3 linked regions of the Oryzias latipes genome follow. The protein of the gene in region 3 interacts with the protein of the main gene of each other region in a pairwise test. Links are inferred from orthologs where the notes say so. Each region holds a gene or a part of one and is shown on either strand. Other genes may lie near its edges.

Region 1 (7,870 bases), on a different chromosome or scaffold from region 3:
AGTCATCATCTGTGATAATATAAAACAAAAAAAACAACAAGAGTTGATGACTAAACCTTAGGAAAAGGATTGTGTGTTAATAGACACAATGTCCCAAAATTCAGCCTTGGGGAACCAGTATCCCCATTGACTCTATAAAATGAAGTTCAGTGATGCTTGGCTCAGATAAGCTCCGTTTTTTAGACTTGAATATCCATGTCAGCGAGTAAAGGATGTGGTTTATTGTGTCAGACTGTGCAGAGAACTCAGGTAAGTGAAGACGTTGGCGTCTCAATGCAGAAACCAGAACGATCTGGATCAAGATCAGAAATCAGAGACCTGCTCGGAAACTAGCCTTTAAACATCATTCGATAGGAGGGATAGGAGCGGAAGAAGTGAAACTGGTTGCAAGTATTTTGCTTTAGCAGATTCTAAGACATGCCAAGGTGCAACCTGAGCCACCGGAGGTTCAGATGTCACCTGCACACCTGCTTAAGATTAAAAAGGCAGACCTTACTAAGGTGACTGTCCGTGAGTCAGAGCTCAACTGGTAAAGACCAACACTAACATTTACCAATGCTGTATGAGCACAAGGGAGGATACAAGGTTTTTTGTTTCTTTTTAAAGATTTGAAGACAAGGTTGGAGTTGTGAAGAACCACTTGTACGTGTGGCTGTGTTTCCTTAACTCTCACTGTGAAAAAGGAGTTTAAATCTCCTTTTAAATAGATGCTATATTTTGTGTGGGGGGGGGGTTTATATACAATATTTTTCAACAAAAAAGACACAAATCATGCAGCCGATTCGAAAACCATGTCATACACACAAACATACTGTTTATAAGAAAAGAACCCTCTCCATTCCCCTGTTGTAGGCTAACCCATTTCCCCATTATCCTTTTCAGTATTTGTTTCAACACACCTGTTTTCATTGAGTCTGTTTAGGGGTTACTTTCTTTAAATGTTTGTATGTGTAAAAAAGGCAGCAAGTTTTGAAACAAAAGCTTCTTGCACTTGGTTTACTAACTGGATTTCATCTATCAAATGGGCAAAAATAAATGTGTGTACTGTAACCCACCTACAACATCACCAAACACCTCACAATCCTTTCAACTTCATTGCTGGACAACACCTTACACCCCAGCATCCAGAGCTTTGTTAGCAAGGTGCATTATATCAAGTTGGTATCAAGTAACACAGATGACACCGTGGTCTGCTATGATGTGTCAGCCCTTCTGATCTACATCCCCACTGCGGAAACCACAGAAATGGTGAGGACAAGACTGGAAAAACATACAGCCCCATCTAACAGAACCAATCTGACACATGTATATAACCAGTTCATCCTACTGTGTGTTATATAGCGACTTCAATGGGACTTCAGATCTGCACACTGGGATCTCCAATACAAAAGGTAAAACTTGTTTTTGGGGAGTCCAACTTCTCTTCTCTGGAATTCTGCTGGCTGCTGTGAAGACAAGAGCACAGTTAAATTGTTTTGGAAGCTGTCCCTCATGCCTGCAGCTCACCTTTGGGTACCTGTGTGCAGGAGTGGTGTACAACTACACCCAGAATGGGGTGCAGAAAGAACAGAGAGGCTGGGAGCGCTGCATCAACATCCCTTTGGTCCGACCAGACATGTTCCACCTGTTGGCTCAGTGGGATCAGTACTTGGAGCGCTTCTCAGAGGGACCCATGTGGGACCCTGTGTGGCACAGGTAACTCACAGGTGACACAGTCAACACAGGTGATGCCAGTCAAAGCCCCTACCCACCTTTGTCTTCCAGATTCCATGAAGACGACCACAACTGCTTCAGCTTCTGCCTGCAGTTTCTAAATACCGTCCTGACAGTGGAGGGTTGCAGCTCCCTGAGCAAAGAGGATTTCACTCGCTGCTTCATCTTGCCAAGGATGAAGAGGGTGTCAAAATATACCACACTGGTCCAACACATCGAGAAACACCAGTTCTACATGGTGGACCGACCGCAGGCAGCAGAACCCAGTAGCTAAAGTGGCCTGACCTTTGACCCAATGAAAACAGACCCACTAGACTAAGGGTGAATTCAGACTGGACACATTTGGTTTGTTTTAAGTGAACCAGATTTCATTCCTGGATAATCCGGAACAAATTTTCAGTCTGAATACACCCAGGTGGACCCTGGTCCAGGACCAGACACCGCTCTCTGACCCATCTTTGGAGGGGGTCTTGGTTCATTTCCAATCGGACCAAGCTTTGGTTTGCTCTGGGATTCCTCAGTCTGAATACAATCCGTCCTCTGAGCGGAACAACTGAACCAAAACAGCCCCCATAGCTGACGTAAACAGAGTAGGAATGAAGGAACCGATGAGCTGCGAAGAAATGTGAAGCAATGATTGTCATGTTATCAAAGAGGGAAAAAAAGAGTCCAACTGTTTACTTGTTACGTTTGTTTTAACTCAGCTGAAAATGCGTCTTACATGCTTTTCTGTGTGGTTACGCGGCATGCACCCGGCGGTGCTGTAACGTCACCATAAAAAATACCTTGTAATTCCTTAACAGAATTTACTTTAAAACTATGCCATGAAACCAGAACAATGAGACACAGCACTCATTGAAATTTGGTTGGATGTATGCAGGCTCATTAAAACACTTTTCAACGTGACACACATTGCTTCTTATACTGTTTTCCCAACAAGAACAAAGGATTTGAATCTGAATACACCCTTAGCGGTCACACTGACACAAGTTCTGAATGATATATTGCTTTCCAGCAGCAGTACGGATCAGAACAAATCAAAACTGGCTCATAAACCATTCAGTACATAAACTTTATTCTTTTAAAACGCACTTCTTAAACCAGAAGATTTTCACCCAGTTTGTCTCCATCTGCAGAGACGACACCCCGACATAAAACATAAAGTCGTAAACATAATTGGGATTTTTTTTTTTTCTCCAACATGTTTCTTTTTTATTGGTGTTTAAAACTAAATGTTGATGGATGTCTGTTTTATTTATTCGTTCAATGAAGCAATAACAAAACAAACATGTATCAGAACTGTGCAGATACAGTAAGTGTGGAGGGATTCCTCAGAGTGGTTTTATTGTTGCTAAAGATCATTTTGCCTTTTGTTTTGTTTTGTTTTTTCTTGTTTTTTTAATTTTATTTTGCACAATATTTAAACATTTATCTTGTATTGTTGTTCACCTTTCGGTTTATTGAAAATGAGCAGGATTTTTCTGCTCATTTTTATGTCTGACAAAACAACACAGGAGATAAAGACATGTATACACAAACATGAGCAGAAATGACAAAATACAAGTTCAAGCAAACACATGGCTGATTTAAAAGATTTCATGAGGCATTTATTAAGGCACAGTAAAATTTTCTTGAAGGATGTGCAAAATTGTCTGACCTCTGCTGGTTTATTAATGTGTAACATAGAGGATGGAACTAGTAATAATTTTACATTTTTGACAAATTCTGGAAATGAATATTTTTGTTTCAGTTTGGTGTGATGTATTACACTTATCCCATGTTCAGTGGAGCATTTATTGTTGTTTTTAAATTAGTTTGTGGTAAAAACTAAATAAAACCAACTAGGAAACCTGTATAGTTTCCTTTCAATTTCATTCATAGTCATTATTGTAGACAAGCAAACTTTAGGGAATCATGGACTGTTTGTATGTCGCTTTAAAGGTGGATTGTAGTTTACCTCCATGCCAATAGGTGGCTCTCTTGAGCAATTTTGTAAAAGTATGAGTAACTACAGAGAAAAAAATTCGAAAGGACCAGTTTGATTAGAGAGGACCCACGTGCACGGCAAAACCCACATTTATTCTGGTTCAGAAAACAGTACACAAATTTCCAGGTCAGAATCCCACAAAGAGGTCAGCCGTTTAGTAACGGGTCCACAGCAATGCAGGCCGACTTCCGCGCTCCCCGGCGGCGCGCGCGTGTTTACGAAGAACTGGAGGCTCCGCTGCCGGTCATCCGTAGTGCCGGGGAGAAGTGCGTGTACCGGGCTGAGCTCATCAACCAGCACGTGCTTGTCTGCCACCCCGACCATGTCAGGAAGATACACAACCAGGTCAGGGTTGCCAGTTCCGACTCACTGACAGCAAAGCAATCCTGCAAAATGTTACTGAAAAGATCCAGTGTAGATTATAGGATTTAGTTTAGAATGCCTTAATTACATGAATACTATTTTTGTTCGTTTAATGCCGTCGCACTGATACATTATAGGTGCATCTGCAGCAACAGTTAAATGTGCTGGACTCAGATAACTGTTAAAGCTGGGCGTAAATTTTGTATTTCTCTGATGAAAACAATCTATTGCATCCCGTCTTTCTTTTACCATAATAAATAATCAACGAGAGGACTTCATCATCATGCCAAATGATAATGATCAATAAATCAAAACTGATCAAATCAAACTGAATGTAAACCCTTTAGTTTCCTGGATGGAAAGCTCTTAAAACGGGAAGAAACATGTCAGTTTGTGTTTTCATTATTGTCTTCTTTCCCACCTTGGTCCTATGGTGACACTATTGCTGCTCTATGCCTCTGACTACAAGGACTAGCAGTGATGGAAAGAACCAAGTAAAAACTAAGGAGATTTACTTCAGTTTTATCTAACTAGGTTTGATTTTTCAGGGTTATTTTGGAAAAGGCATCTTGTCCAGAGCCAGACCAGATCACAGCATTTCAGAAAAATGGGAGGGTGAGTCTACACCTGCACCTGCATGAGATCATCATTGATCTGGTCTAACCCACACAGCTCTGTGCAGTCAGCTGGTTTGTTTGTCTTACAGATTTCGAAGATTTGTACCTTCCCGTTGTCTCTCAGGCCAGGTTAGCAGCATCTTGTTCTGTCTGGCTGATGACATCACTTCCTGCCTTACATTTCAGTCTTTTACAGGTATGAGGAACTACTTGGATGGGCAAAGGCAAGTCTGTGTGCTCAGGGAATGTCTGCAGAGGCTGTGGATCAAATATTTCACAAACTAACGCAGAAATTGGAGATAGAGGATGTGAAGAGTGAACTGAGGGAGGCTGAGGGGGCAAAGACTGAGGATGGAGTTTGTGACAACACAAAAAGTCTGGGAAGGGAATCTGAGGCGGAGCCTGAGGCCAAGAGACCATGCAGGTGAAGTGCTTGTTTCATCCATAGACATTTACTAAATGGACAGATAATCTCTGATGTCACCCAAATTCAAAACACCAAAATAGAGGTGAAATGGGTCTGCCAAGTTGACTGGAGTATGCTCTTCCCAGTCAAAAATGGCACAAGTTCTTTAAAACCAGAGGTGTCACAGACAACAGGAAATAACATGCTCTTTGACTTATTCTAACTCTTCAATCGTTTACGGAATTATTGAGAAAAGCAGCTTTGTGCTGATATGCAGCACTTCATTACTGAAAAGTGTTGCAAAGAATCAGCTTCAGTGTCAGAATCTGTTGGAATTCTGACATTCTGAATGGTCAAAGAGTTACTGTAATTCAAAGGGGAATCAACAAACACCGGAGCTAAAGCTCCAGTGTTGAAAGGTGAAACACTAATAAAATCAAAACAGCAAGCTGTCGAGAAGAGTTCATAAAGAAATAGAAAACAAAAAGGTTTTGTATTCAGCCTGTACATACACTCCCATTTTGGTGTGAAGTGGGATTTTCTTTTCCTCTCATTACTCTGGAGTGGGAAACCTTCCCTTCTCAACTTCTGTGCCGGTCCCAAGCCCGGTTGCTTTGAGAGGGTTGCGTCAGGAAGGGCATCCGGCGTAAAACATTGCCAGGTTTACCATGCGACTCGTTCGCTGTGGCGACCCCTGATGGGAAAAGCCGAGAGAGAAACAACAACAACTCTGGAGTTGGAAACTGCCCCTTTTATAAACCCAACTCTAGAGTTCATTTAAGGAACTATAACATTTTGATACCTCTTGGTATATTTTAAACTCAGAAACAAGACATGGGGGTTAACTTAACTGTGTTTTGTTTCAACACTCAGGTCGGACATACAGGACCTAAACTTTGACCAGAACTCTGAACCCAGTTTTGACTCCGATCAAGACTCTGAACCAGATCTTGGCTTTCAGGTTCCAGGTCCTGGTTTTGTGCTGGTAGTCTCTGAGAACCAGGCAAGTCCCTATATGAATCTGCATGTTGTTAAGTGTTTGATGAGCTGTTAATTAGGTTTGTGTTTCTACAGAATGAAGGTGGGGTTAGAGAAGTGAAGCGGAGCCCATTGTCTCTAACTGAGTACCTGCAGCTCAGCCTGGAGGAGGTAACCCACCTGGCACCTGCATCCACAGTTGGGACATTTAAGTGGCCTTCTCACCTTTATGTCCCTGAACTCTGCAGGCCTTCTTCCTTGTCTACAGCTTGGGCTGCTTATCTGTGTACCTGGACCAGGTGAGTTATGATTGTTTTGGCTGTTATATTTGTTGCATTGCTATATATGAAGAAGTAAACCCTGTTGTGCATTGTGGTTGGTCAGGAGCCACAGTCAGTCATTCAGCTGTGGCGAAGGTTTAGGTCTCTACGTCCGGACTTCACCAGCTCTTACGCTGCATATCATCATTTCCGAAGCAGGGGCTGGGTCCCCAAAGGAGGCAGCGGGGCCAAATATGGTGTGGACTTCAGTAAGATCACACACAGAGCTGAGACCTTTTACCTGTGTTTGTGAAAGAATTTTCCTCACACTGAGGGGACAAGAGAAGCTTGATAACTATAATGTGTTTTTTTGCAGTGCTTTACAGGAAGGGACCCCCTTTCTACCACGCCAGGTGACGCTCACACAGGTGACTTTACTCTGATCAGCCACGGTTTTATGAGTGTCTAATCATGCCTGTCCTCTGCCTGTAGTTACTCTGTGGTTGTAGAACAAACTGATGATGAGTTCAGGGGCTCAACTCTGCGTCCGTTTTCATGGCGTTCTTTTGCTGCCCTTAGCAGAATTACCGCCAGTGTCTCCAAGGTACAGATTCATCGGGAGGAGGTACACTTGGCCTGCCATGTCCCTCTGATTGGTTTTTATCTCACAGGAGCTGATGCTGTGTTACATCGTGTATCCTGGTGAGCTACTGAAGGAGGAGCTTGATTCACCTGTTTGCCTGAGCAAGCTGAAGGTTCAGGTGTGGAGCTGTGATGTTTGTTCAGCGTTGCTGCCAGTTTTCTAGTTTTAGCTATCTGCTGTTCCTCATCCCTCCCCATCTGGGTCTAGTTGGTTTGTAGATTTCACAGCTTTCTGTTTGTCTCCTTGGGCTCCAGAAATAAAACTGGAGCCCAGCACACCATATCAGTGAGCATGATCTTCTACATTTTGTCTCTACAGGAAGTCATCATTAGCAGGTGGGTTTCCTCCAAGGAGCGAGCCGAGCAAGATGACGACTGATTCAAATGAATTCGCAAAGAACAGTTTGGAGCCAATCAGGGACGTGGATCATATTGAGCTCATGAACTTTCTCGTGTGTGGAGTATATAGAATATGCCTTCTTCCTCAAACAGGAGTGGGAAGAAAAACAAGGAGAGAAATGTAGAAAAAATCTTATTTCCTTTCAAATATGATCAGAGCAACTATGACAAACTACAGAGAACGGAAATCATCTTTCATCAAATGAGGACTTAAAGGTTAGTAAGCCTGACAGCTTGAACACAAAGAAATATGACCACTCTCCTTTAGAAAAGGACAGACTGAAGGATGCTCCTCTCTGTATTGTAGTGTAAGTTTAAAATGAAGCAGAACAACCATGACTTTAAAATCTAACTCTTCTGAACAGTCTTCCTTCTCAAATATGCTGTTTTCAATCTAACATGGCTTCACATCTCTTAAATAGTGTGTACCTTTGTAAATACTGTAAAAAAAAACGATTTTTATTTTTGCTGAATTCCTGCAACCAAAAAAAGAAATGTAAAATAT
Region 2 (7,619 bases), on a different chromosome or scaffold from region 3:
TCAACATTAAACAAGGATTTTAATTTAAAATGTTCCCTGTGTATTTCATAATATTATCACATTTCTGAGCTAAAATTTAGAAAATTAGCGTTTTGGGGATGAGTTTCTAAAGGTCCCACTCCAATTATATTTGTGTTGGTCCTAAAAGTCTCTCCAGCGATCTTTTAATTATGATTGCTGATGCTGTTTTTAGCCCAAGTCAAGAAACCTGTGTCGTTTTTTAAGACACTTTCTGCAGAGCAGCAGTAGTTCATTAGAAACATCCCTCAGATTTGTGGATGGGACTGTTGACGTAACCCTACGCTGATATCCTGTCATTCCTTTGTTTACACTCTCTCCTGCTAGCTTACAGCCGCTCACAAGCCCAACCCAACATTACCCATGCAACAAAACTGGCAAACAATATCACAGCCATCCAACCGTACAGATTTGAGCCAGATGCCAACTCAGACGAGGAAAATGAAGACATTAATGTATCCAGTTGTTTGCAAGTGGATGCATCAAAATTTGAGCGTAGCAGGGAGACTTTAGCCTGCCCATTCAAGATGCTGTCACACATGAGCTTTTTCACACTGCTGGACTTTTATCAGCTTCTGATCCATCACGATTTGAACAAAGAAACACAGTTTTAATCTTCAATACGTTATATGTCCTCCATTATGACAGAAATGTACAAGAACATGTTAAAAATACTATGTTCATTGGAGAGGGCCTTAAAGAGCTGTTGTGTTCTAGATGCTGTGGCAATCCCTAACAGGATGAGCCAAAAGGTGAACAATAACATAATATGATGTTTAAAAAAATCTTTCTCATCTGTAGGAAATGTGATTGGTGGAAGCATAATGATGAAGAGTGATGAAGGAGATCTTCTCAGTCCCTCTTCTGACAAACTGAGCTCCAACCTATGACTTCTTCTGGGCACACACTGCCACCTAGTGGATCATCTCAGCTATTTCAAATCTTTGTTGAAAGTTTTTGTGCCTTTTTTATTGGTGTTGCTTATTAATAAAAGAAAATAATCTGTTGTTGTTTTTGTTTGTTTTTTGTCTAAGAGAGAAATTTAAAAAGAAAAAGCTTCATAAACTAGCAATAAAGCTGAAACTTTTCAGAAAATACATCAGAGGGAAAATCATTCCATTTATGTTTTATTTCATTTTTATTTACTATCATTAAAACGCTTTTACTTTGGTTAAAATTAACACACATTTGGCCCTGCCATTAAATACTTTCCAAAAAAGTGATTTTTTTTTTTTACTTTTTGACTGGTGATTACAGGACAAAATATTACAGATAAATGCAGCAGGTTTTCTTCAGAAATTCAGTTCCTAATTTCAATGATGCATGATATCTTATTCTCATATATGGTGTAAAATGGGCCATTCATCATTGCTAATAAAATCATCAGATTTCTTTAAAAAAATGTATATGTAAAGTTATGTTTAAGTGTAAAAAGGAATTTACCCTATTTTTTCCACAGGTCCATCTGTTAAACTGTTCTTCCCTCTGGCCTGTCATAATGGTTATTAGTCTTTTTATGGGAGTGATACCTGATATATTTCAATTTTACTCCAATAAGTCCAAATTGTAAGATATGGCAGTAGTTAATTTTTTACATCCAGCCATGACAAGTATAAATTAAAGTATGGGTATGCTAATTTTGAACACGGATGAATATATTTCCTTAAAAAGGGTCTGATTCTGCCCAGACACAGTTAAGACCAGGGGCCTCATTTATAAAACTTTGCGTAGGATTTGCGTCAGAAGTGGCGTACGGATGAAACATAGGACGTGCGTACGCACAGAAATATTCGGAGTTATAAAACCGTGCGCACGCACATCCTACGCATCTTTCCCTTAATAAATCACAACCGATTCTAAATGCTGCGCAGCTTTTGCGGCTACATGACACGCCCATAGTTGCCCATAAATAGTCCGTGAAACGCCCACAAATGAATATTCATTGATTGCGAAACCATGCCAAACACGGAGAGAAAATCAAAAAAACGTAACTTCACTCAATGTGAAGTAGAAGTTATCGTTGGCGAGGTGGAAAAGAGGAGAATAATGTTGTTTGGAGGGCACAGTGTGGGCATTACTAATGCCAAAAAGGCACGTGAGTGGCAAACGGCGGCAGACGCCGAAAATGCTGCAGCCTCACAACCTCGGACCGTGCCCGAAATAAAAAAGAAAAGGTCGGACATCAAAGTCGAGGCAAAAAAACGTCTAGCGCTGAACCCCCCCCCCCCCACACACACACACACACCCGTGTCTGCCACGAGTGTGTGTGTGTGTGTGGGGGGGGGGGGGGACACCGGAGCTGACCCCTCCTGATGAGAGACTGGCGGCAATAATTGGGGAATCCCTTTTAAGTGGAGTGGTGACTGAGGCGGAGGGGGACACCCACGCGCCAGATGCACCGGGTGACACACCCCCAAAAGCCCGCAGAGGAAGTCGGAACCGGCTCATAAGCCACTCGTCCTCGTTTGCCAGCAAGTCTCCTTGCTGTCTAAAGATGCGTTCACTCCGAATTCTTCCATTTGCCACATCTTCTAAGAGAGCAAGATCAGCCATTGTGCGTCATTACGCATTGTGATGGGGCATTTTATTTCCCTCCATTTAATTACATCTGACAAGCTACAGATGTCGGGAATAATCGACGTGGAAATGGGAAATTGTTCAGCGCAAATGTAATTTCTTGTTGCTTTCTGAATGGTCGAGACAAACGCCATACATTGTTTCATGAAAAATAAAACAAAATAAAGGCATATGCATGAATACCATAATTCTGTAGCTTATGAAGAAATATTTTACTATGAAAACAACTTTCCCCAGTGGAGAATTAATGCATCTCTCTCTATCTATCCATCTGTCTGTCTGATTGCTCCTATATCTGCTCCGCCAGACGGACACATTGACGGGAATATCAGTTGTGTACATTATTTCGTTCTGTTAACTATATTATTTATATTATTTATGAGGATGAATTGCACAACATGCCAATATTGCAGAACATATTTCACTTTTCTTTTTGCAAATATGTGCTCATTTGAATTTCTGTTGTAATTTTTGTTTGATTTTTTTGTTTGTTTCACTGCTGATCGATCAAACGGGTGTTCGTGTAGGCTGTTAATTGTAAGACTTGCTTTGTGAAGTCTTCATGTTATTTATCAGAGGCAGTATTGTCATTTTCACTTTCACGTGTTTCTTCCATCTGCCGACGGCGTCGCCGTTTCTCATTTCATCCGTTTTTGTGCGTACGCCTGGGTCAGAGCTTGCGTGAAGGACCGCACATTTTCCCGTCAAGTTTGCTTTTTATAAATCTCAACTATTGCGTAGAGAGTGGCGTACGCCTTCTTTTGTGCGTACGCAACGTTTATAAATGAGGCCCCTGGAATCAAAACAGAATCAGTTTATAGAAAAATCACGAAATATAAATCACAACCACGAGGGGGCAGCAATGCAGCGAGCGAGAACGCTGTTCTTTCTTACTATTGGTTGCTAGAGTCTTGACGTCATCATCCTGCGACGAACATCTCACTGGGTACACAATTTTTTGGTTCTGTGCTTAAGCTTTGTATATATCAGTATAAGGACGCGAATTATACAGTTTTGTATTCATTAAGCAAATTTGAAGACATTTAGGTGATCTCTGTTATTATTTATATTTGTTCGACATAAAACCCCACATTTCTTCCTTTCCTGCTAATCATCAGTTAGCTTGCCTTGTCGTGTGTTGTTTGACCATTTATTAATTAATGTTGCATTTACCTTTAACTTAACGATATTGTTGTTTTACATGTTGCACCCTGTTATGATTATATAACACCGTTTCTTTCTACAGCGATGGCAACAGAGTCTGTAGAAAAAACTAGCGACGATGCTCCGGCTAACGGCAAAGATTGCACCCGATTCGACTTGGAGAAGGAGACCGAGCTTCGGTTTGAGGTGGAAGCAGGAGAGGCCGCGGAGCAAGTGGAGCTGGAACTCCTGTCGGGACTGGCTGAAGTGTTCGGTTCAGAACTGAACCGCAACAAGAAGTACGTGTTTGGACCAGGATCCAAAATAGCTGTTTTCACCTGGCAAGGATGCAGTGTGAATCTTCATGGAAAGCCAGAGGTGAGTTTAGGATGAAATAAATAATCAGTCTTTTCTGTCCAGTTCTCCATATTAACTTCGAAACATCACCTATTATTTTTTTTTTAACCTCAGGTGGCCTATGTGTCTAAAGATACTCCCATGCTGCTCTACCTGAACACCCACGCTGCCCTGGAACAGATGAGAAAACAAGCAGAACGGGAAAATGAGAGGGGACCAAGGGTGAGGAGCAGCCAGATGGCTAAAATCCCCCCCTATAAATGTAACTTCTCTGTATATTTTGTATTACAAATACATATTTGCTGGCTTTCCAGGTGATGGTGGTGGGTCCCACAGATGTAGGGAAGTCAACAGTGTGTCGAATGCTTCTCAACTACGCTGTCAGGGTTGGCAGGAGACCAACCCTTGTGGAACTGGATGTTGGACAAAGTGGTGTAAGTACATTTAAAGTTGCACAACTTTAAATGTTTTAACCTCGCTACTATAGTCCAGGGAATGGTGTTAGATAGTATAAGACAAGTTGTGCAGACCTAATCTTTATAGTTTTTAAAGTTTTCCCAATGTAAATGGTTTAAATTAAGAAACAAAGCTTGTTATCACTTGTTAGTTCTGAAAATTAATCGTCTTGTCCTCTGTTATCCATAATGCTAAGTAGTATTTGGTTTCATTTATTCATATAAAAAAACTGCATATTTTCAGTGATAAATCAAAAATGTGTGTTTGAGATATTTGTACATCAATGACTAATTTCAATGTTTTCTAGGCATCATCTTTGAATGTCAAGGAGTTACCAAAACACTAGTCACAATCTTGTTGCTCATTGGTCTTTTTTTTCTTTCTTTCTTTTTTTTTTAGCTATTGTACTTCTAAGATGGTTGAACTGTTACTTGTTGTAACATGTGTTTCTGTATAATGACTTGCTGCAAGTACATTTGTTAGTTTTTTTTTTGTTTCCTGTTACAAAAAGTACATTATTTTATTTGTAGGATGCAGATTATTTGTCTTTGTAAACCTGCAATGTAAATGTTGAACAGTTCAGATTTCATTGTGTAATGAATTTACAGTAAGGTGTGACTAAACTTTGTTCTCTCTTAGGTGTCAGTACCAGGGACGGTGTCAGCGCTGTGCATTGAACGGCCGGCGGATGTGGAGGAGGGCTTCTCTGTCCAGGCTCCTCTGGTCTACCACTTTGGCTCCACCACTCCAGGCACCAACATTAAACTTTATAACAAGGTTAGAAGATTGTAGATATACAGTCATTTTATGTTTGTCATTGGCTGTCATCATTTATGCTGTTATTTTCTACTGCTTTTGTGTTTTTATCACTGTGGTTAGCTGACATCCTGCCTCGCTGAGATGTTTTCCCAGCGCTGTGAGGTAAACAGGAAGGCCAGCGTAGGAGGCTGCATCATCAACACCTGCGGCTGGGTGAAGGGTTCAGGATACCAGGCTTTGGTCCACTGTGCCTCCACCTTTCAGGTGGATGTGGTGCTGGTTTTGGACCACGAAAGGCTCTACAATGAGCTTAAACGCGACCTGCCCCACTTTGTGCGAGTTGTACTTCTGCCCAAGTCTGGGGGGGTGGTGGAGCGCTCCAAAGAGTGCCGGCGGGACACCAGGGATGAAAAGATCCGCGAGTATTTCTATGGATTCCGTGGAGTGTCCTACTACCCCTTTTCCTATGAGGTGCGCTTCTCTGACGTCCGCATTTACAAAATTGGTGCACCGTCTATCCCAGACTCGTGCTTACCTCTAGGGATGTCTCAGGACGATACGCAGCTAAAGCTGGTGCCTGTCACACCAGGGAGAGACCTGACGTACCATGTTCTGAGCGTGAGCAGCGTTGACGACGGAGACGAAGGTGCAAGAAAGAGCATTGTGGAGATTCCTGTGTGTGGTTTTATTGTGGTAACTTTTGTTGACACTCAGACACAGGTGATGAAAGTGTTATCCCCAGCACCCAGACCTCTCCCCAGACACACTCTGCTTATCATGGACATACGCTTTATGGACATGAAGTAATGCAGAACATACTTGAAGTGAGGAGAGATGGGTGCATTTGTTTAAAAGTTTTTGGTGTTTTGTAAAAAACCTCTGTAACAAAGTACCTCAGCAATTTGTTGTAAATGATGACATATTTTTAAACTTTTATGTACAAATGCAAAATCTGTCATGTCATTTTTTTCAGTTCCTTAAATAAAAAAAGTATTCTTTGTTATGGAAAGAAAAAAAGTATCTTTTGTATTTATTTTCGTTTAAAAGAACAAAGATTTAGCATTCATTGTTTAGTGTGTGGTTAATCTGAGTCATTTTTCTATGTTTATCCAGAAATTGTCAAGATTTTCTTAGAAACTGTCATTCCTTTTTTTTTCTTCGTTTACCTTGCGTCAGGTGCAAAATATTAGAAAACGAATCCTTGCAAAACTTCTCCTTTTATGATTAGTTTTCAAAATGTAGACTTAATAGTGCACTAATGTTAAAAAATTCAATTGTAAAAACTACGTAATGTAAGTTTAAAAAATTCTGAATTTTCCAATGGGAGCAACCAGCAACCACCCTTAAATCAAAAATAATGGACATTTTACATTTTAAAGTACTATAACAGACATTTTAGTACCTTTCTGACAGTTTAAAACAAGTAAAAGTGTTTAAATTAGAAGTTTGTCATACTTTTCAGTGAAAAAGTGAATGTCTAAAGTTTTGAAGTATGAATTAAAATAGGTTATGGAATATATTCCTAAATCATCTGTTTGGTGAAAAGGTGGCCTAAATTTCTTAGTGAAATGTCTGCTGGGAAACTTCAGTCCAATAAGTCAATTTTCTCAAGTTTTGTTACGCGAGACTTAATTCCACCACAACTTTTCTCTTCAAACTTGGATATAGTGCAAAAACTCTTACATTTTGCACAAAAACCAAACTTTATATTTACATAACTTCTATGATACTAAAATTAACAATGTAAATCCATTACTTGACGATAAAGAAGAATGGTAGACATATAATCATTTCATAGTTAAAAACACAGTTGTACCTCAAAAAAAGTTAGAGCTGGTTTTACATGAAGTCCACATTGTTGACATTAATTGATATGAAGTGTACAAACCGGTTTATTAGTACTCAGAGAACTGCAAATACTGTAACCAATGTAAACAGAGCCCTTAAGAAAAAGTTAATGGAATACAATCTTTTTATAACCTTATAGGTAGTCAAAGAATTAAAAATTAGATATTATCCAGTAAAGATTATTTTTGTCGATTTTTCCCTGTTTGTTAAAGTAAAAAAAAAAGCTCTTTCTGTCAGTGACATGGAGAACGGCTATAACATCTTTTTGTGGATTATTCTTTTGTCTTTATAATTTGGAAGGATCTACAACATACCTTAGAGCAGGGGTGTCAAACTCATTTTCACTGAGGGCCACTTCAGCATAGTGGTTGTCCTCAAAGGGCCAGATATGACTTATACGTGAAACTAAATGTAATGAAAAATAAATGTAACTACTCCTTAATGTAAAAAAAATCATGACT
Region 3 (7,741 bases):
GAACTCAAAAGGATCACGAATGCAAAGAGTTCAATAGGAAAATACTAAAATGAACTAACAAACTGACTAAGCTATACTGGCATCCCTGCCCTTAGACCCCCCTTCGCGGTGAGGAAAAACTCCCAAAAAAACGGATTCCAGAAAAAACGAAGAAACCTCAGGGGTGCCCACATGAAGGAGGGATCCTCCCCCAGGACGGACAGGCGATTTACCAGAACTCATAGAGAAGAATTAACTTATCTAAATCTACAACTACATACTTTTAATAATAATGCAGAATATTCAGCCATCCGCTCTCTAATGTTACCGGGATGCTGATAATAAAGCTGCGTCCAGCTTGTTGATTGTTATTTTTAGAAAGCATCAGTTTTAGTGAACTTTATTTTCTTTTTGCCGTCACTCCTTAAGGGTCAGAGGTTGAAGTTGGCGTCTGAATCTTTAGCTTTAACCTTTAACCCCCAACTTTGTCAGTTATGGGTTCTTACATGTAGAAATAAAGTTGCAGCTGCGGGTGTTTTACAGAGAATGGAGATAAACTTTAACCACCAAAGTTCTACTGGAAGCTAAAAACAAAAATAAATAAAACCAAACTGGAGATCAGGCCTGTTCTGCCTCAGCGGCACCGATGGTCAGAGCTCCAGCGCCTCCCCAGCAGAAAATCTGTGGCGAAGATTCGCCTCCAATGTCGGTTTTCCACATTTATCCTTGAAACTGGGAGAGTTTTAGCATCAGGAACTGTGGTGCTGGCTTTGGTTCAGCGTCCCTCCTCTTGTCTGTCTGCAGAGGAAACCTGGTGAAAGGCGTGTGGTTGCCGTGCCGGCGGCTGGTGGAGCTGCAGTCTCCTGCCGTGAGTGCTCTCGCTCCGAAGCCCTTGTGCGGCCTTCCTCCCGCGCTCTGCCAGCCGCTCCTGTCTCGTCTTTGCAGGGAAAGTTCTGGCAGACGGCGGGCTTCTCCGCGGACGGAAAGCAGTACCTCCTCCCAGAAGAGGCTCTGTACCTGATGGAGTGTGTGAGTGGAAGCCGCCGGCTCAGGTGCACAGGTGAGGGAACGGGCGCCTGAACCGCTCTCTGTGTGTGAGCAGGGGAGCGTGCAGATCTTCCACGAGGACCTGCCCATCTCCATCCAGGACGGGTACGAGGCGTTCCTGTCTGCAGACACGGTGACCCTGCAGCAGTTTCAGGTGCTCCTCGGTGACCCGCTCCACCCTGCTCCACCCACCGGTGGTCTGCAGGTCCATCTAAGCGCTGTCCCGTCTGCCCACAGGTCTTTGGACACCTGAAGAGGCTCGGCTACGTGGTGCACAGGTTTGATCCCGGGTAAGAACACCTGAGCTGCGGCTGGACGTTCAGGAGGAGCTGCAGGTGGAAGTGAGGCTCCGCCTGCGGATTCTTCCGGTCTGCTGGGGTCGGCGGTGAAAGTCTCTTTTCTCGCCTCCTCGTTTCTGGACGCTCGTTTCCATTTTCGTTCATGTGCTCGCAGCTCCGAGCCGACGCCGTACGCTCGACAGCTGAACCTCCCCCTGTCCCGGGCCAGAGCAGGACGGGCGCCGAAGAGGAGGCGGAGCTCCAGCCCGCCGCAGACCTGCAGGTGAACCTCTGCCTGAAGGGGGGGAAAGTCTCTGATCAGCAGGGGGTTCACGCCATTTCTCTGCCGTCTGCAGCGGCGCCCTCGCACAGCAGGAGAAGATGGAGGCGGGGCAGTGCAGCTCCGGGCGCCAGCCCACGCCTGCGGAGGAGAAAGACCCCAGGAGCCCTGCAGGTGGAGGCGAAGACGGGGGCCAGGCTTGGTGGCTGTCTGAGGAGCGCACAGGTCAAAGACGGACTCACAGCTCCGCCCCCTCACGCTGGGACTTCAGCGGCCTCGCTTTCCCGGACCTGGGTTCTGGGGAGGGGCTGGTGGCCCCTCCAGACCCCGCCCTGCTGCCTGGGGGCCTGAGCGTGGGCGTCTGTGACGTAGCCTCCTGGAGGCAGAAGGTCAACCTGCGGAGGGTTAAGGTGTCGGAGAAGGAGCAGAGGAGGGAGGAGGTCCAAGGCAGGCGGATGCAGCAGTGGAGCAGAGAGGTTAGTCTCCGCCCCTTTCTGCTGAAAGCATGGCGTTCTCATCACCTGGACCTTCTGCTTTGGTCCGAGTCCCACAACGCCCTTTCTTTGACCTCTGAACCTTTATGCTTCCTGTTAGACGCTTGAGAGCGTCACGCTATTCTCTGCAGAGAACGCCAACTTCACGGCGCCGCAGACTCCTGACCGACACGCGCAGAGGACCACGCCCACCTGCTCACGCCGCTGTACGACTTTCTTTCAGGTTCAGCGGTGCAGAAACTGGGCGGAGTATCAGGAGCTCCTGGAGAGGCGAGGGGCGGGGCATCCGGGCCAACCAGCTCACCTGTGGAGCGGCGAGGTCACGCCCTTACATGACCCAACGCATCCCATCACCACAGGTGAGTCTGGTCTGCTGTGGGAGGTCATGTGACATGTTTCCAAGTTGACCGGCGTCTCACTGCAGCGGAGCTGCTGGAGAAACTCCGAGTCCTCCAACCGTCTCACCTGCTGGAGGGCGCGTCCAGGTATGTTTCTGTCACCGACTCTAATCACAAACACCTGATTATTCATTCTAAGAAATTGATAAGTTATTCAGCAGATAAAAGATGTTCACTGACTCCGCCCCTCACCGTGTCGCTGTGGCGCCCTGCTCCAAAAATGTCACGGTTTTCAGTTTTCAGCTTTATTAACCCCTTAAACCTTTATTTAAGATTGTTATTACAATAACGAGCTGGAAAGTAGAGAAATACAAAGGTAGATTAAAGCACATCAAGAATTTACATCAAGAAAACTATTCAGTCAAAAGGAATCCTGGAAAACTGACATTTTAGTTCCAACATCCAGGATTCAGTCTGTGCATCATTCCAGTCGTTTGCTGCTTATTGACGGAAAGAGAATTCTCCATAATGTGATTTCACTTAATGATAAAGAAAATGCTGTTTGACGTTTCATTTTCAAAAAGTTCTTTAGTAATTAGAAATATCTCATTTCAAAATCATTTTCTTAATCCTTTTAATTAAGTGACAGAAATGAGCGGTTTTGAAGAAGAAAAAGAAAAAGCGTTTTGGTACAGACTTATATTTTTAATTATGCTACAAAAATGCTTCCATAGTCTAGTGTGATGTCAGCAGTAATAATAAAAAAACATCCATTTATCCTTCTATTGTGGTGCATCTCAGCCAGAAATGTAAAGTGTAATGAACTAAAAATAAAAAGGAGCTCATCAAATGACCTTTACTGTATTTTTCCAACCATGAGGCACAATTGAAATCTTATAATGCTGGGAGTATAAATTCATATTTTGCTAACTGGCCTCAAATATATTGAGCACAAAAATCTTTCAGTGTTTTGGTACGACTTTGATGAACACAGGATTGGTGGATGGAGATTTATGGCTGCGTTTCTGGATGCATACCGTCCTTTAACTGGTGGTTTATGAGCTTGGGTTAGTTTACTTCACTACTTGCTTACTTTTTAGCTAAACAGCTACTTTTTAAAATCAAAAAACATTTGATTTTTCTTTAACCAGAGAGCCTCAATGGAGGGCTCAAAGAGCTGCAGGTCGCAGACCCCTGGTTTAGGAGCTGATCTATAAATGATGTCATCACAGTCGAGCATCAGTAGGATGGTCATTTAAAACAAGGTCTTCTAGCAAACAAAGTGATGGATGTGCACATGCGATGAAGAAAGACACGGTTAGGCTTTTGATTCTTCTGTGGTGTGAGAATGAAGGACAGGTTTCCAGTCAGATGCCCAGATATTTGTATTCAGGAACCTGTTCAAGAAAAGTTTGAGGTGGTGATGTTTAGAAATGTCCAAGACTGACAACAGCTTTTTCTTTCCAACCACATGACTTTAGTTTGAGTTCAATACGAGCCTCAAAGAGCACAAAGATTCCTGGACTGAGTTAAAACTCTCTTGAAACGGTGCTGCTACTGCCTCTGGGCCTGATGTATAAAGAATTGTGTCGTCTGCGTAAAGACGGATGGATGACCCTCGTGTTGCTGCAGATAATTGATTTATGACAGCAGGGTAGACCCTGGAACAGACCCCTGTGGCACTCCACAGGTAACATTAAAAGGTCTGATTTTAGATGCTGTGATCTGTCTGAAAGATAGTTAATAAACCAGCCAGGGAGTCACTGTAAACACCAATGTCTGCCAGTTTATTGACGGGGGTGGACGTTGTTGTGCAGAAACAGATTTCCCTCCTGCCGTCCGCTCAGGTTAAACGGTTCTGACCAGTGGAGGATCAGCTTCAACGTCTACCAGCCGGACTCGGCGGCCGATTTCAAGAAGAGCAACCCGGGGAGGCCGTATGCGCGCATGTGCGTGTGCAGGTGAGCGCTGTTGACTCAGGGTCGCCTTGCTCCAGAACAGCTTTGACCTTTTAAGAGGAATCCACGCCCCCTTGCTTACTGCCAAACGGCTCATCTCTGATTGATGAGTCTTTCATTTCAGAGAAAGGTTGACAGGATTTGAGTTTAAAACCTAAAATTCTCAGCCGCGGTCGCTGCAAACCGCCTTAAACGTGGTCAAACCGGTGATGCTCAGAAGTGACGGTCTCCCGCTGCTCCTCAGCTTCCAGGGGCCGGTGCCAGACCTGCGGACCATCAAGCAGCTGGCCTTCCAGAGCGGAGACGTCCCCGTCGTCTTTGCCGTCGTGGACTATGGGGACATTTCCTTTTACACCTTCAAGGACTTCCAGCTGCCCCAGGACGTCCACCCCTGACTCGCCTCCGTCCGGGAGGTTCCAGGAGCCGCCGCTGCTCCTCGTCGCTCTGTAGACGTTCAGACCGCTGGTTTGAAGGTTTGAGCTGTGGAAAGACGGCCTGTTGGCTCCGGAAGCCTTCTGGGACGTCACATCCATCATATTCTATGACATCCTTTCAGAAAACTAAACTGCTGAAATGAAATGTTTGCATTTAAACAATAAAGAGTGAATTCATGATGTCACCAGTGCAGCCAATAAAGCAGCTCTGCTTTCAGCAGAAGACTTTTGTTGTTTTTGACCTGAAACTGAACCTTTTTTATCTCAACACGTAAAACAGGCTCCGCCTTCAACATGTCTACCAGGAGATGGCGCTATACGGGCTAATTCAACAAGCTGGAGCCAATTTAAGATGGATTTACAGGCGAATACCCCAAATGGCAGACTTTAGGGTCCTGATATTTATAGAGTTTAAAGTTGTAATATTTTTCAAAGCGTTCCAAATGCTCTTTGAATTCTGATGACGCCGTTTTTAGCCAAAATCTAAAAACCTTTGTCGTAAATAGGACATAGTTTCTGCAGAGCGGCAGGACTTCATCAGACATTTGCTTGTGGCCCCGCCCACTGCAGCTTCTACGTCACTGTCAGGCTTTTTCAAACTGCATTTCTCATCTGCTCCTGATCCACAACAACCTGAACTAGAAGGAGCTGCTTTTCCAGAAGAAAATTCGGGGTTGATGGTATATTTCTGAATGAAAATGAAACTTTAAGGGTAATAATTGGCTAGAAATGAAGTGAAATCAGCACAATAACAAAAATGATATGTTTGTGAAAAATGCCAGAGCCGGGTATCGAACAAGCGAGCTTCTGCACCGAGGATTCCCCATGTTTTTCAATGGAGGCAAAAATCCTGGAAATCCTGTAAAAGTTAAAGTATTTGAAGAACCAGAAGTCACAGCTGGAAAAAGCTGAAAGAAATGAACATTTGAATAGATGAACGGTTGAAATAGCTGTAAAATTGTAGGAGTTAAACACCAAAGAATGGTGGAAGATACTAGAATAAAGAAAGAGAAACAGGAAAACAATGATTGATTGAAGGATTTATAGCATTAAACCAAATAAAGAAATACTCTGAAATGCAATTTTAAGCTTAATGTTCTTTTAAAATGTCCTCCATGATCAGACAAATGCTGCAAGAAGATGTTAAAAACACAGTTTTCATCGATTGTGTCCTTCAGAAATGTGTCTGGAGTTTTTTAGGAGCCCGTTTCAAGACCAGGAACATGCTTTTGGAACATCTCAGCTGCTTGTTTTAGGCGTGTCTCTGGAACAGGTTTTAGTTTTTTCATTCATCTTCTCCCGTTTTATTCCCCTTTCGGGGTCACAGGGCTGCTGGAGCCTATCCCCGCCACTTGTAGGCAAAGCCAGGGGGCGTCCTGGACAGGACGCCAGTCTGTTGCAGGGTAGAGTGACCACAACCACACACTCACACACTGTCACATTCACACCTTGGGACATTTTAGATTGACCCATGAACCTAAACCCACATGCACTAAACCCTACGTGTTTTAGTGCATGTGGGTTTAGGTTCGTGTGTTTTTTAGGTCCGTGTTTCTGGAGCACTTGTGTTGCTGGTTTCAGGTCTGGCTTTTAGGTGCATTGTAGGTGTGTGTACCTGTGTGCGTCCTTCGGCAGCATGTTTCAGGTCCACCTGTGTTTACAAAGGCCTGTGACACAAACTAAGGGCTGAACAAAGTGCTCTGCAATAAGAGCTTAATCTCTGCGTTTGTGTTTCAGAACCTCATGCAGGACTTTTGCTGACTCCAGGTGATGTGAGCTCTCCCCGCACAGAGATGTTGACTTTTCGCTGCAGCTGCAGCTCCAACAATAGAAATGGTTGGGTCATCGGCCTCGGAACACAAAGAACCTTCTTTGGTTCACATAATCAAACACATCCATCTTGCGCCTTTGTGTGGTGAACGTCTGCAAACATCTGGATGCTTTAAAAGGCTTTTCAGCTGAAGCTGAAGCACTCGGCCATGGCAGCCCTCCGGACGCGCGGCGGCCCGGTTACGGCCCTGAACGCCTCCTTAAATTGGATTCTTTTGCTCTGTTTTTGGATGTCACACTGGTTTCCTGCTGGTGTTTCAGGCAGTCAGCCCTCAGACTGCTCTTATTATGGTCTGCTGAAGTATCTGAACCTGACAACACCCAGTCAGGTTCTGCAGATCATCAGACCCGTGCAAAGCTGGAACCACACGACAGCCGTCTCCTTGGACATGGTGATGTACGGCATCCTGGATGTGGTGAGTGGCTCCATGAAAGGCTCCTTCTGCTCAGTCCACAGCTTTTACGACGTGTTAGCCAACAGGTCAGTCTGGACCAAGTCGAGAAGTGGTGAAGATTGGCTCCCACTCAATCCCATTTCTCCTCAAACTTAAAGAAAGATCTGTTCCATAAAATGAAAACCCTGTTAGCAGGTGAAGAGGACATTTCCCATGTTCTACAGCAGGAGGGATGTGTGTGAGCTCCATGAATTGTGTTTGTCTGCAGGATGAGAAGTGTCAGACGGTCACCAGCCACATCTGGATAGAAACAGTAAGACTTCCCAACAGAGGATCTACAGACTCTGTGCTTTACTGATGATCTCATCTTTGTCCTCTTTCCTTTGATCAGCACTGGAAAAACGAATTTCTGACCTGGAATCCTTCCGACTTTTGTGGGATGGACAAGCTGACGATCCCAAAGTCCTTAGTCTGGAACCCAGATGTGGGCATTGACGAGGAGTAAGCAACCTTCTGGTCCTCCAAACCACCCAAGTGTTGATGTTTCCATCAAATCCATCATGGATGATGTGTAGAAGAACGCAGGCAGCTGTGGAGTCAGAGATGATTTGGTTTGTAATCTAGAAATGAGTTTTTTTTATCCAACGTTCAACCAGAAGTAGATCTTCACTGTGATGGTCTAACGTCTGAGAGGAGCGCGACTTTCTG

The links. The genes of interacting proteins can lie anywhere in the genome.
Region 1: the proteins of tsen54 (region 3) and tsen2 interact in a two-hybrid assay, tested with the Homo sapiens proteins (2 studies listed by BioGRID and IntAct). The two-hybrid records come from large-scale screens. The link is inferred for Oryzias latipes from reciprocal best matches to the Homo sapiens genes TSEN54 and TSEN2.
Region 2: the proteins of tsen54 (region 3) and clp1 interact in binary tests that used the Homo sapiens proteins (3 or more experiments, as listed by UniProt). The link is inferred for Oryzias latipes from reciprocal best matches to the Homo sapiens genes TSEN54 and CLP1.

Annotation. Positions count from the first base shown.
Region 1 is NC_019863.2:19,267,037-19,274,906, forward strand, and holds the start of tsen2 (tRNA-splicing endonuclease subunit Sen2), read left to right. Parts: upstream 1-3,702; 5' UTR 3,703-3,874; coding exon 3,875-4,045; intron 4,046-4,611; coding exon 4,612-4,678; intron 4,679-4,769; coding exon 4,770-4,809; intron 4,810-4,876; coding exon 4,877-5,104; intron 5,105-5,959; coding exon 5,960-6,089; intron 6,090-6,160; coding exon 6,161-6,235; intron 6,236-6,312; coding exon 6,313-6,363; intron 6,364-6,448; coding exon 6,449-6,593; intron 6,594-6,700; coding exon 6,701-6,737; intron 6,738-6,816; coding exon 6,817-6,928; intron 6,929-6,995; coding exon 6,996-7,085; intron 7,086-7,285; coding exon 7,286-7,345; 3' UTR 7,346-7,870. Other genes in the region: mkrn2os (MKRN2 opposite strand protein), read left to right, coding at 1,342-1,391, 1,527-1,695, 1,765-1,987.
Region 2 is NC_019868.2:14,102,654-14,110,272, reverse strand, and holds clp1 (polyribonucleotide 5'-hydroxyl-kinase Clp1), read left to right. Parts: upstream 1-3,451; 5' UTR 3,452-3,541; intron 3,542-3,549; exon of another isoform or gene 3,550-3,642; intron 3,643-3,841; 5' UTR 3,842-3,843; coding exon 3,844-4,116; intron 4,117-4,209; coding exon 4,210-4,317; intron 4,318-4,409; coding exon 4,410-4,529; intron 4,530-5,190; coding exon 5,191-5,328; intron 5,329-5,430; coding exon 5,431-6,117; 3' UTR 6,118-6,261; downstream 6,262-7,619. UniProt on the Homo sapiens protein: Polynucleotide kinase that can phosphorylate the 5'-hydroxyl groups of double-stranded RNA (dsRNA), single-stranded RNA (ssRNA), double-stranded DNA (dsDNA) and double-stranded DNA:RNA hybrids. dsRNA is phosphorylated more efficiently than dsDNA, and the RNA component of a DNA:RNA hybrid is phosphorylated more efficiently than the DNA component.
Region 3 is NC_019866.2:1,092,375-1,100,115, forward strand, and holds the end of tsen54 (tRNA-splicing endonuclease subunit Sen54), read left to right. Parts: intron 1-783; coding exon 784-847; intron 848-924; coding exon 925-1,008; intron 1,009-1,081; coding exon 1,082-1,180; intron 1,181-1,263; coding exon 1,264-1,316; intron 1,317-1,479; coding exon 1,480-1,587; intron 1,588-1,660; coding exon 1,661-2,060; intron 2,061-2,301; coding exon 2,302-2,437; intron 2,438-2,502; coding exon 2,503-2,563; intron 2,564-4,263; coding exon 4,264-4,377; intron 4,378-4,618; coding exon 4,619-4,769; 3' UTR 4,770-5,031; downstream 5,032-7,741. Other genes in the region: 5-hydroxytryptamine receptor 3A, read left to right, coding at 6,788-7,054, 7,302-7,346, 7,425-7,534.